Linked DNA regions of Macaca fascicularis. The protein of the gene in region 2 interacts with the protein of the main gene of each other region in a biochemical or structural test. Links are inferred from orthologs where the notes say so. Each region holds a gene or a part of one and is shown on either strand. Other genes may lie near its edges.

Region 1 (4,229 bases), on a different chromosome or scaffold from region 2:
ACTAAGGCTGGACACTCTTCAATCAAGAAGAAAAATTGTTACCAGCTACCACTGAAATCTTGGAGGATTGTTCTAAACCCTAGTAGATGAAGAGCAAATATCTGCCTTTGGTGCAGGTCAGCTCTGTACATCCAATCCATTGGTAAGCCACGTGAGGAATTAAGTGTCGTTCTCCCTATTGAGCTTCCAGGCTTGCCATATTCTCCAAGAACTACACACTGAAGTTGCAGAAAGCATATAATAGACGACATAGCTTCAGCTATTTAAGTTCCAATTTTAAAAGTACTTTACATAATCTAAAGGTACATGTATAAGACCATTCAGCTTCAGCAATAAATAAAGTCTTACTCTAGTGAAAATGCAGGAAGTTTTGGGGAAATATTACCTAGCACATTTTGAAATAGAAGCAATGCTTTATTTCAGAGAAGAAAATGCAGATTGAAAGGTTTTAAAATATTAAAGACAGTTTAGCATCAATTGAAGAAATAACATTTTCTAGAAACAACAGAGAATAAAAGTTACAATAATATTATCAACAACTTGCAAATGATTCAAAACAGATTTTATGGCCAAAATGCTGAAAGTTGGGCCCTATACACCAAAGGGCACATACAAATGCATATAAAGGCAAAGCACCAGTTAAATGATTCACAGTCTCATGTAAAGCCCATCAAATAGATAAATCTGGAAAATCTTTGGATGTACATTGTGACTTTTGTATCTCAACTAGCACTTTGGGACCTTGGACAAGGTGTTAGGAAAGAAATCAATATTTACTCAGGACCAAGACTTTCAAGATGACTGCGTGAGGTAGAAGGAAGAGGGAGAAGAAGAACTTGCCCAAAGTTCACTGTTCATCTACTATGTCCGATTCTGTGGGAGTCTTCATGGCCATGTTCAGTAATGATTTCATACTGACAGTACTGATAAAACCATCAGTGTTTTGTTCTCAGAGCTTTTGATCCTTTCATTTTGTTAGTATGTTTTTGCCCTACATGATGGGTCCACATACCGACAGAGACATGTACAACTTGCCTCTATCATCAACTCCTTACCGGCTAGTTGAGCTAAGTTATTCCTGGTGGCCTCTGAGTAAACTGCAAGAACAGAAGCATTACTAAGCATCCCTGTCTGAGTGCAAGGGTGTGTGTTGGCAGTACAGCCCCAATCTTGCAAAATCCTTCTTCCAATGTTCCTTCCCGCTCTGTATGAACCCTGTGTTGGGGGGCAGGAGATGGAAGCCCTTGGCAAGCTCGATTGAACTAAGCTACTAAATTGCTGAGCTCGTTTTAGTTGAAGTGTGAGAAGGAGGTTTAAGGCAAGTAGACAACATCCTGTTGTTTGGGTGCTTCTCTCTTTTTTGCACATCTGGCTGAACTGGGAGTCAGGTGGTTGACTTGTGCCTGGCTGCAGTAGCAGTGGCATCTCCCTTGTACACTTCTCCTCCTCGGCCTGCCCAAGAGTCCACCAGGCCATGGACGCAGTGGCTGTGTATCATGGCAAAATCAGCAGGGAAACAGGCGAGAAGCTCCTGCTTGCCACTGGGCTGGATGGCAGCTATTTGCTGAGGGACAGCGAGAGCGTGCCAGGAGTGTACTGCCTGTGTGTGCTGTGAGTATGATACAGTGGGCATGGGCCTGCTGAGGGTGTGGGCGGTGGGCAGCGGCAGCTGGGGCCAGGGTGGAGGCCGAGGCAGGCAGGGGCGCCGGCATTAGCAGCTCGCCGACGACGCCTCCATGGTCCGCCCTCAAGTCCAGCCCAGGGCCGTGGTGAAACACACTTTCGCCTGAGTCCCTCGCTGGGGATTTCATTCCCTGGGCCACCTGCTCTCCAGAAGGCCCTCACCAGAGCCTTTTGGGGCAGCCGCAGAGAATGCCCTTTCGGGTGCTGAAATGTGGTCTAGAGTTTACCTTCGCTCCAGGAAAGACCCAGGCTCCCCACTTCTATTTTGAACCCTATCGGGTGGTGCCCTGGGAGCCTTACTCTAGCTCTCTTTAAACGACTTTTGAAGTGTCATCCCAAAGGAAGGGCATGACATTCAGGGAGAGGAGACACATTAAGAAACAGAGTCAATTACTTTAAGAATGCAATGCCAGTAAAGTCGAGATGCTGAGAGAGGAGGGGGATGTGTATGAGTAAAATCACCTCTCTGGATCTGCTGATGTAGCATCCTTTAGAAAAGTAGTGGGGGGTGGGGAGGGGCAGGGGATTTCAGAAATAGGACCCTTCTTGATAAACGTTAGGACTCACAATAGTCTTAAAGGGAATGGAGGGAAAACACCCTTGTTATGATTCAGCTTTGCCATTTGCCTAGGCATGTCTCAGTCTAAGGCTTCATTTTGAATCAAATTCATCTGCGTCTTTGCTCCAGGGCTGCGGAGTCAGGCAGATCTGAGACTTTGTCCTGTGCTAGTCAGATGTTAGGCTTGTGACCTGGGCAAATTAACCTCTCAGTCCCCCAGTTTTCTTATCCATTGAATAGGTATCATATTACTGCCTACCTCATAGGATTGTAAGATTAAGTGCTATAATGCAGTAAAAAAATTAGCACTGGGGCCTGACACCTAGTAAATGTTCAATAAATGTAAGCTATTGGTATTGTCATTATACCAAAAATATATTGTTATTTTATCTTCTCTTTTCAGTTGATTTCTTTTAGGAATCATGGGGGCATTTCTAAGGAAGGACCTAGCTCAAGCATTATTGTCAGCAGGATAAAAAAAATCCATGAAAACAGCAGCCCTGCATAGTAGGTTCTAGACAGAAACCAAATGAGGTTAAATGCTTGGTAGTAAGTTCAGCATCTGATGATACCCCACAAGAGTTTGAAATACCTTATGGGTCAGTGAAGAAAGATTATCCTGATGCTGGTGCTAGAGGATTTTCACTGTATATTGGTTTTCAAAAATGGTCAAGCCTTGTTTGTGGCAGCTCTCAGGTCATGCTAAATACATTTTTCATAAAGGCTTCCAGGGAAATACGTGGAAGTTATTGAATGTCTTGGGCTTGAATCTTTATGTTTTGCTTATATAATTATGTTCCCGTGTGGAATCTAGGGAAGGGCAATGAAAATCAGCTAGGATTCTTAGGCTCTTTTCTCATTGAGAGAAGGTGGAGTGAGTGGGTGGGTGAAAGGCGCTGCTTTAGGGAAACTGACAAAGGAGATAATGTGCTCCTTAACCCAAAGGTGAAAAAGAACATACAAAACAAGTCTGGGCAGGGGAGGGACAACAGGGTATAGTGAGAGGCAAGATACACCTAAGACTTCAGCCTCACCAGGCTCCTGGCCGTTTCTCAAGCTCCTCAAAAATGCCCCCACTTAGGATTTCTGTGCTTATTGTTCCTTCTGCCAAAAATACCTTCAGTTCACATGTTTGTTCAACTGCCTCCTCCCTCAGAGAGGACTTGCTTGGCCACCTATCTAGAACAAGTGCCCTCTCTCTGTCCCTGATACACTCACTCCATCTCTTTATTTTTGTTCAAAGAGCTTTAAACTATTTGATAATTTGCCTGTTTACCTACTTATTGCTGGGCTGTCCTGCAAAAATATAATCTCCATGAGGGCGGAGACATTGTCTCCATCACCAGGAACACAGGAACACATAATAGGCACTCAGCAGATATTTTTGAATTAACAAACTGTTAAGGCAAATTCTATTCTTTACTGCAAGAAAAGGAATGAACATCGAGAGGTTAGGGTGTGGACCCTGGGAAAGTCACTCAAATTCTCTGGGCCTCAGTTTCCATATTTATAAAACAGGAATAGTAATGTGTATCCTACCTTCTGCAAAAGATTGCCTTAAGTACCATATACAAGAGAGAAGGACAACTTTAGCCTTTTTCCTATGTGGGCCAGAACCACATGAGGAATTAACTTAGGCAGGTGAGAAATTCTCAAGCATTTAAGTTTTTGCCCAAAGTGAATCTTGCATAAATGCTTTTTTTATGACTCTCAGTTCTCCATGAAAACTGCCTTGTGAAGTAGCGGAAAATACTAGACAAATTGGGAGTTCCCTTACGGTGTCTTTCAAATGGTACACTGGGGACTCAAAGTCTTATGAGACTGTTTGGGTGATAGCCAGAATGTACTGCAGAGGAAAGATATAAGGATACATTGCCTTTTATCAGTTTCTCAACGTTTTTGAGTTGAGTGTCCCTTTTGACAAATGTAAAAAATTCATTCCCTCTTTTTGGTGCTACACTGTAATTATAAAATCAAATTTTATTTA
Region 2 (3,642 bases):
CCAACTGTATTAGATCATGTAATTAACCCCCATAGGTAGATAACGTTATCCCCTTTTACAGGTGAGAAAATCTGAGAGGCTCTGAGGTATCTTCCAAAAAGAAGATGACTTGAGAGGCCCAGAGAGGTTAAATAAATAGTGCAGAGCTCACAGAGTTAGAATTTGAGCCAGGCCTGTCTGCTATTAATATCCATGCTCTTGGCATCACTCAGAGGAGGTTACCCAAATGAGCAAAGAGAAAACCTTGATGGTGAGTTCACAGAGTGTGATCAACCACACCACAGAAAAGAGTGGGTTTTGAGGCAGCCCCTGCAGTAGGCAGATGGGAAGGAAGAAGAGAGTGAGCTGGCAGCTCAGACCTCATGCCTTCTGTATTCCTCAGAATTCAGATTTTGGCCGTTTTTGGTGATCATCGTGATTCTAAGCACACTGTTCCTTGGCACCCTTGTCTGCTTCTGTGTGTGGAGGAGAAAGAGGAAGGGGAAGCAATCAGGTGAGTGGAAGGTCCTTGGGGTGATGCTTCTGCCTGAGGCCTCGGATCCTGTGACTTGGTCCTGCCTCCAGTGGGATGTGTCTGGGAGCACAGCATCTCCTTTTCCTCAGCGAGCTTTGGTATATGCATATGCGTGGTGGCAGGGGGCATGCAGGCCGCCAGGCTTTCTCTCCTCGTTCATGCTTTCTGATCCCCAATGTGCAGATTTCCCTGCAGACAGCTGGTTTGGGAGGAAGCATGAGAGGGGCAGTTTGGTTGCTGCCTCTGTGCTCTTTGGGGTTCCTGGGAAGAGCACTAACCTGCCTCCTTTCTAGAACCTTCTTTAAGGTTTGGCCATTTGGGGTGGAGGTGGGGCCTGTTAGAAGCAAAAGCCCTTCTGAAAGTTTCTGCAGTTCTGCTCTTTGTTTTCTTCCTCCCTCAGAGACCTGTCCCAAGGAATTTTTGACAATTTATGAAGAGGTCAAGGATCTGAAAACCAGGAGAAATAAAGTATGTTGTCCCAGAGGCTGGGGTCGCTCTCAATTGGCTTGGAAAATGCTCTTTCAATGATGGTTATACAGAGAAGAGGGACAAAAAGGACTGAACAACTGTCTTCTTGATGTGACCCTCAGCCCTTCCCCAACTATCTTTTCTCCACTTGCTTCCTAGTTCTGGCAATGGAGGAAAAGAGGAAACAAAAGGAGCAGAGAAGATGAAAGGGAGGCTGAAGGGGCTTCTTGGTGCAATATTGCACCTGCTGAGAAGGGATGGAGCACAACAGAAATCAATGGCAGAGGCAGAGTGCTGCTGTGGTATTTGTTGTCTGACCACAAATTCTTTTTCCCAATGAGTCAGGGCTTGCATTCATGAGTCCCTTAATGGTGACACAGGCTGGGAAGTGTGACCAGCCAAAGCATAACAGTTTTGTAGCTGGCTCAATGGGCTGCATTCACAGCCTTTTGGGAGAAGAGGCCTGAGTGTGGCTGAGGTATTAGAGTAACCAGCCTGGCACAAAGCCCACCAGCCTGAGTGGGTTCCTCCAGGAGCCTCTCGCCTGCTCTCTGTGGCAGGCAGTGGCCAACTCTGCCCGTCATCCAAGAATTAGAAGAGGAGGAAATTGCAGAGGGCCTGCAGATGCCCCTGCTGCTGTGTCCTGCTCAGGGCTAATGTGGTGACAGGCCCAGGGGAAAGCTCTAATGGGGCCTACCAAACTGCTGGCAGGAAGTTGGGGGGTGAAGTGGGGCGGAAATGTCTTCTTTCCACTGCCCCCTGGCGCTTGGCTGCGGAGACCCAGCACCACGTAGCAAGCACATGTGGTGGGGCTCTTCCGCGCTGGCCACATACGTGAGGCCCTGTGCAGCCTCGCAGAGCAGGCAAGCATCCTCTCCTGGGTCTGGTTTCAGAGGCAGTTAGGGCAGTTCCCCACGCCTGTTTTGTTTTGTTTTGGCCCCAGCGGTGGCTATGGGAATGTGAAAAATAAAGCAGTGGCTATTGGAATGTGAAAAATAAAAGGGAACTTTGTTTGTCTCACTGCTACCAGACTCTGGTGCAAATTCCTGAGAGCATGTGAATCTACCCACAGCCAATGATGCGCGGGTGCTGCTTGCTACAAATAATCTGTTTTTCCAAAAAGAAGATGACTTGAGTTTAGGAGACCACAGGGGGAGAAACAACTTAGTGCAAAGGAAACATCTTGGGGATTCAGTCCTATTAGCTTACTTCTGACTCAAGAGCTCCTCCCTGTCTGGCCTCAGCCCTCTCTGGCCTCTCCCTATTGTCTCAGGGTTCCAATTTGAAGGCCTAAATCTCAAGTTTCATGTGGTCTCACTTTGAGACCCAGCTCTAATCTTTCTAGAAACACTTCAGATGAGTCTGGACAGGAGAGAAAAGCAACAAACTCTTGCAGTATTTTAAAACACAAATGAAGTTATTGACATTGTCAGATGCCCATGACTCTCCAGCCTCTAAGGACAGCTGACAGTTCTCTGCTCCTCTTAGCTTCTTCTTGCTTCCAGGAATTTAGCTTGCACCTTGCCTAATGAAACCTGCTGGGCTCCACTGGCTCCTATCCAACTGGCAATATGCTTTCAGTGGCCAGCAGCATGAAATACCTCCACCACCGATTTCCTAAGGGGCAAGAACAAGAAAAGGGAAGCAGGAAGCGCTGCTCCCTGCTCCCTGCTCCCTGCTTTGGCCCTTGGGTTCAGGGCTGTACCCAGCACTGTAGCTGCCCAGGGGGCTGGCTTGAGGTCACGGGCAAAGTGACACTGAAGATGATCTAGAGAGGGCTTACCTGTGTGTGGTCTTTGAAATGTTTAAACTTTCTGAATTCCAGTGCTCTGACATAAGGCTCAGATAACAGCCCTACTCAGAGCTTTGCAAGGAAGAGTTTCTAAGTCAGTAAAGGAAAGAAAGTGACAGCATTCTCTTTGGGCAGGGTTGCTGGAATCCCTCACACCTGGGTGGTTCTTTGCTCCTGATACTAATGGCTTCACCGGAACTGCTCTTCTTTCTGTCTTTCCCCATCCTGGGAGGATCAATGACTCTCCTCAGTCCTGCCACCTCCCTCCCAGGCTCCTGAAAGCCCCTCTTCTTTGTGCTGTTTTCCCCTGCTCAGTCTAAATCTGGACTGACCTAGCTGTCTGCTCACGTTACCCCATCCCTATTTCTTGTGCAGGAGCAGGAGCAGGAGCAGGAGCAGACTTTTCCTGGAGGGGGCAGCACCATCTACTCTATGATCCAGTCCCAGGTACCTCTCTAGTTTCTCTAGTCCATTCCATACCTATCTCTGGGGTTTCCTAGTGCCCCCCCCGAAACTCACACCCTTGAATGGCAGAATAAGACCTTAGTGCTCTTGGAATCCAGAAGATAGCTTGACTTCAGTTGCATTAACACATGATTTGAAAAGATCCATGTGACTGTGGAGCATCTTAACACAGCTGGGAAGCCTGATGTGGGCATTCCTTCTTCTTCCGCGTCTGGTAGAAGGTCTGGCCCAGATAAAGTCTATAGGAGCAGAAACCTGGTTAGGGGACTCAACTTCTGCTTTCTTGCCCTGCTGCTGCCTCTAGCACTTGGGGCTCTTGCACTTTTTATCCCTATTCCCTATTATATTCATTTTCAGGAAAGAATGAATCTGCATTGGTCTCTTTTATCTTCTTATGACTTAG
Region 3 (4,181 bases), on a different chromosome or scaffold from region 2:
GGCCCTGTCCTGGGACAACCATCAGCGTGACGCACGTTGAGCCCCTGGGCACATGTGAGCTCCTTTACGAGCTACGTCCTTCAAATTAGACAAGAAGAAACCAAGGCCGAGAGAGAGAAGAAACTTGACCAGGTTCCCACAGCTTGAATGTGGTGGCGCTGCCTGGCTGGTGCCACTGCCTGGCTGGTGCCCCTTCCTGGAGGGGGTCTGTTGTCATGTCCTGGAGCCCAAGGCCTGGATGTGGGATGAGGGGACACTCCTTGTGCAGCGGGTCAACACCTGCCCCTTCAGCCTTGGTGGGCCTGACCCAAGGATGGAGGGTACCCAGGTCTGGGGGCTGAGGGATGGGTGTCCACTGCAGAGCCCTCAGAAATGACTGGTCCTGGATGGCAGTCCCTGGAGAGGCAGCTCCCCTTGGAGAGGTGGGCAAATGTGGCCATGCCCAGCCTTGGAGGAGGTACAGTCTGACCAGTCACCCCGACTGCTGAGATGCAGGACTCAGGACCCCGTGTTATCCTTGGCCAGGCGGCCAGCCTGCCCTGTGGGGCTTTGGGGTTCTCCTCTCCGAGCTTGTTTCCCCAGCATCCTGGAGAAGCCCAGAGAAAAAGTCAGCCTGTGTTCCCACTGTAAATGGTCCACATCCCCTCCAAGCTCCCTTTGTGTGTCTCCAAGCTGGACTGCAGGGATAAGAGCTGTGCTGCCCGTGCAGCATCCACCGGCCCCTGGGAATGAGGGGAATGCAGTCACAGAGCCGTCACTTGGACCTCGGCACCCTCGGCTGGTGGTGGCCAAGGTCTCCCAGCACCCAGGCCGCTGGGAGTCTCTAAAGGGGAGTGGTGGGGCTTGACTGTCCCCTCCCCCTCAAGTTTGCTCTGTCCTGGGCAGGCTGTAGTCCCAGTTGAGAAGCTGTGCCCCCTTGGGTGTTTTAGGGGTTCAGGATGGGCGTTGAAAAGCCCTGGGGGAGAGCAGAAGGCTCAGGGACCTGTCTAGGGCGTGGCATCCCATGTGGGCGTCAGCATGGCCGCAGAAGAACCACTCTTCAGGCCCACCCATGCCTGCTAGGCCATGCTTCTTCAGAAGTGGCCACGACTCTCCTGACGTCTCCAGAGCTGGTCATTCTGCCCAGTGGGACTTCAGCTGTCCCTGGACACTTCACTTGTAGGCTGCGACCTGTTGCCAGGAAGGAGAGGGCCGGTGAAGGAGCCGCAGTAGCCGTGGCGGGGTGTGGGGGACGGTGGATGGCCAGGGCTTCCCCCCGCCCTCTCTCGCTTGGTTTCTGTAATGAGGAAGTTCTCCGCCGCTCAGTTTCCTTTCCCTCGCTGAGCGCCTGAAACAGGAAGTCAGCCAGTTAAGCTGGTGGCAGCAGCCGAGGCCACCAAGAGGCAACAGGCGGCAGGTTACAGCAGAGGGGCCTCCGCTCCCCTCGGTGGCGTGTGGGTCCTGGGGTTGCCCGCTGGCCCGGCCGAGGAGGCCCATGCCCACCATGGTCCCCTGCTGGAACCACGGCAATATCACCCGCTCCAAGGCGGAGGAGCTGCTCTCCAGGACGGGCAAGGATGGGAGCTTCCTCGTGCGTGCCAGCGAGTCCATCTCCCGGGCATACGCGCTCTGCGTGCTGTGAGTACAACCTGCTCCGTCCCCGGGCACAGAGATGACAGAGAGGCTTAGAGGGGGCCCAGCACTGGGATGGGTTGTTCTTATGTCACAGGACAAAGTGATCTGCCATGCACACTTCCCCGCCACCCTGTCATGGACCTTGTCCTTGGACCTTGGCCTTGGAGTTCAGAGAGCTGGTCTCGTGGCAGATTTTGCAGCCTTGGAGCTGTCAGAACCACTCCGAGGCCTGATCTTACACCCCAGCTTCCCATGAGCTGTGTGGTGCCCGGGGCTTCCTTGAAGTCTGGGGAACGAGAGAACGAGTTTGGGCTTTTTGAACCAGGAGGAAGCTCAGGGCTCCTTGGAGGTGGGTGTGTTAGAGATCAGTTCAAAGATGCCCAGCTCAGAAACCCTGAGAAGAGCAAAGGTGGCAAGGGGGACCCTTCCTGGAGCACCCAGGCTTTGGGACCCTGGAGGCAGCTGTTGTTCGGCGAGCCAAGCATATGGGCTGAGTTTAATCAAGAAAGGACTTTCCGTTCGCTCACCACTACCACGAGCGAGCAGCCTCTTCTCTGTCTCCTGAGCACTCGGCTGTGACCGCTGCCCACCCCCACCCCTCAATTTGGGTCTCTGTCACCATCAACTCCTCCCACTGCCCGGCTGGGGATGTTACTGAATGTGCCAGCTGTGCTAGCAATGGAGGAACCAGCCACTTGCTGAAGGTTCCTTTCTAAAACCCCCTTCCTGTCCAGTGTCTGAAGGAGGCCCTTGCCCTGCAGCTCTTGGTCTAATCATTTTGCCGAGGCCTCGGGCAGTGCCAGGGTGTAGTCAGGGAAGGGTATGTCCACCCGAACATCTCCAGTAGCATCCCCGGGCTAGCAGAAATGTTCCCCCAAGCGGAGAGGGCCTTGCCCTTCTTCAGGCAGGAGGGGAAGTGGGTGATGAACCCAGACCTGTTTTGAATACTGACTCACAGCTGGGGCCTGCTGTGCTAAGCATTTGTTAGCCCATTTCATCCTCACCACAACCTGAAGTGAAGGTCCTGTCAAAAGCCCCACTTTGCAGATGAGAAATCTGAGGCCCTGGCAGTTAAGTGAGTGACAACAGTCAAAGCCATGGCCATCTGCCCCCAGAGGCTGCAGCTGAGACCAGCAGCCTGTGGCCCGACCTCTCCTGCTCCCAGTCTAGCGGGGCATGCATGTAGCCTTGTGGGGCTGGAGGCAGAAGCAAGGGCAGCCGGAGTGTTTACAGGGTCGGCTGGGGCACTGGAAGCCAACCCAGGCTCACAGCTGGTCGCTGGCCTGTGCTGACAGTCTGCAGCCCCACCTCCAAGACTGGCTTCCTGTGCCCCCTCTCTCATGCCTCAGGGGAAGGAACGCAGGCCCAGGCTGCCTGGACTTCCCCAGTGGGGACCTGCTGCTGCCGGGGCCTTAGAAGGGGCAGGAAGATTCTCTTAGGCATCTCACAAGCCCAGTCTGACTCCACCCGGCCCATGTGGATTATTTGGATTTCTCTCCTGGCCCAGTGGGATCTTGTCCTGGCTGCTTGGTGTTGGCTGAGCCGAGGGCTTCCAGGGCCCCATCTCATTAACCTTCAATGCAGCTCTTTGACCAGGGCTTTGTGGTTGCTCAAGTTACAGACATGGGATGTGGGTCTCTCTGACTCCAAGCTGTGAGCATCTTAATGTCTAGGATCAGCCTGAGCCAGAGTCAGAGCTGGAAAGGTCTTGGAAAAGCTCTGGTGCAACAGCCCTGGCTTTTCAGGGGGTAGACAGAGTGCAGAGAGCCTGAGGCCTTTGTCCACCATGCTGGCTGGGGGCAAAACTGCTGGCTTCCAGGCCAGTTCCCGTATTCCTTCCTCCACCTCTTCTCTCGGAACCCTTGTCTGCACTGAGTTACTCTCAGAGTCATGACAGGTGTGCAGTGTCTGCTCCTTAGAAAGGGACCTGTGGTGCCCACAGATGTCCACTATCCTCTTAGCCAAAGCCTCATCAGCCTCCTATCCTGAGGCTGCTGGGTTGCAAACACCAGGAGCCCCACCCCTTGGCCAGACAAACCCTGGGCTCAGGGTTCCCCTTTCTCCTCTGCTCAGCGTAGGAAGCTTCCGTTCCTGCAGGGTCAGGCTCCACTGTAGGCTGTGGGACGCGATGGACCTGTAGACTTTCCACACATCTGCAGGCTTCATGTGGCTGCTACCCTGGATTTTGCCAATTACGGAGATTTTAAAACTAAAAAGTAATTAAATGAATGATAACAAACTGTCATCCTCCAACATCTCATTTCTTGAAAGAAAGCAGCCTTTGACACCAAAAAAGGCAGGAAGGGCATACAAAAAAAAAAAAAAAAAAAAAAAAAGACCAGTCATTTAAAGCAAAGAGATTGAACTTCTTGAAAAACAAACCCCACCACCCCCTAGTTTTCTCTGTTCCCTGCGGAGTGGCCGCAGCCTGCTGGACATGGCAAAGGCAGGCAGCCCCAGGCTGAGGGGTGTGCAGGGCAGCTGGGTTTATCTGCAGCTGCAGAAGTAGCAGCATTTGCTCCCCAGCCCTGGAAACCTGGAGCCACCCTGCTCTAGAAGTGACTGCA

What was found.
Region 1: the proteins of CD244 (region 2) and SH2D1A interact in a biophysical measurement, tested with the Homo sapiens proteins (2 studies listed by IntAct). The link is inferred for Macaca fascicularis from reciprocal best matches to the Homo sapiens genes CD244 and SH2D1A.
Region 3: the proteins of CD244 (region 2) and INPP5D interact in a biophysical measurement, tested with the Homo sapiens proteins (2 studies listed by IntAct). The link is inferred for Macaca fascicularis from reciprocal best matches to the Homo sapiens genes CD244 and INPP5D.

What each region holds. Positions count from the first base shown.
Region 1 is NC_088395.1:130,579,489-130,583,717, forward strand, and holds the start of SH2D1A (SH2 domain-containing protein 1A), read left to right. Parts: upstream 1-1,394; 5' UTR 1,395-1,474; coding exon 1,475-1,611; intron 1,612-4,229.
Region 2 is NC_088375.1:100,218,880-100,222,521, forward strand, and holds part of CD244 (natural killer cell receptor 2B4), read left to right. Parts: intron 1-382; coding exon 383-493; intron 494-914; coding exon 915-982; intron 983-3,149; coding exon 3,150-3,221; intron 3,222-3,642. UniProt on the Homo sapiens protein: Heterophilic receptor of the signaling lymphocytic activation molecule (SLAM) family; its ligand is CD48.
Region 3 is NC_088386.1:128,992,098-128,996,278, forward strand, and holds the start of INPP5D (phosphatidylinositol 3,4,5-trisphosphate 5-phosphatase 1), read left to right. Parts: upstream 1-1,346; 5' UTR 1,347-1,474; coding exon 1,475-1,617; intron 1,618-4,181. UniProt on the Homo sapiens protein: Phosphatidylinositol (PtdIns) phosphatase that specifically hydrolyzes the 5-phosphate of phosphatidylinositol-3,4,5-trisphosphate (PtdIns(3,4,5)P3) to produce PtdIns(3,4)P2, thereby negatively regulating the PI3K (phosphoinositide 3-kinase) pathways.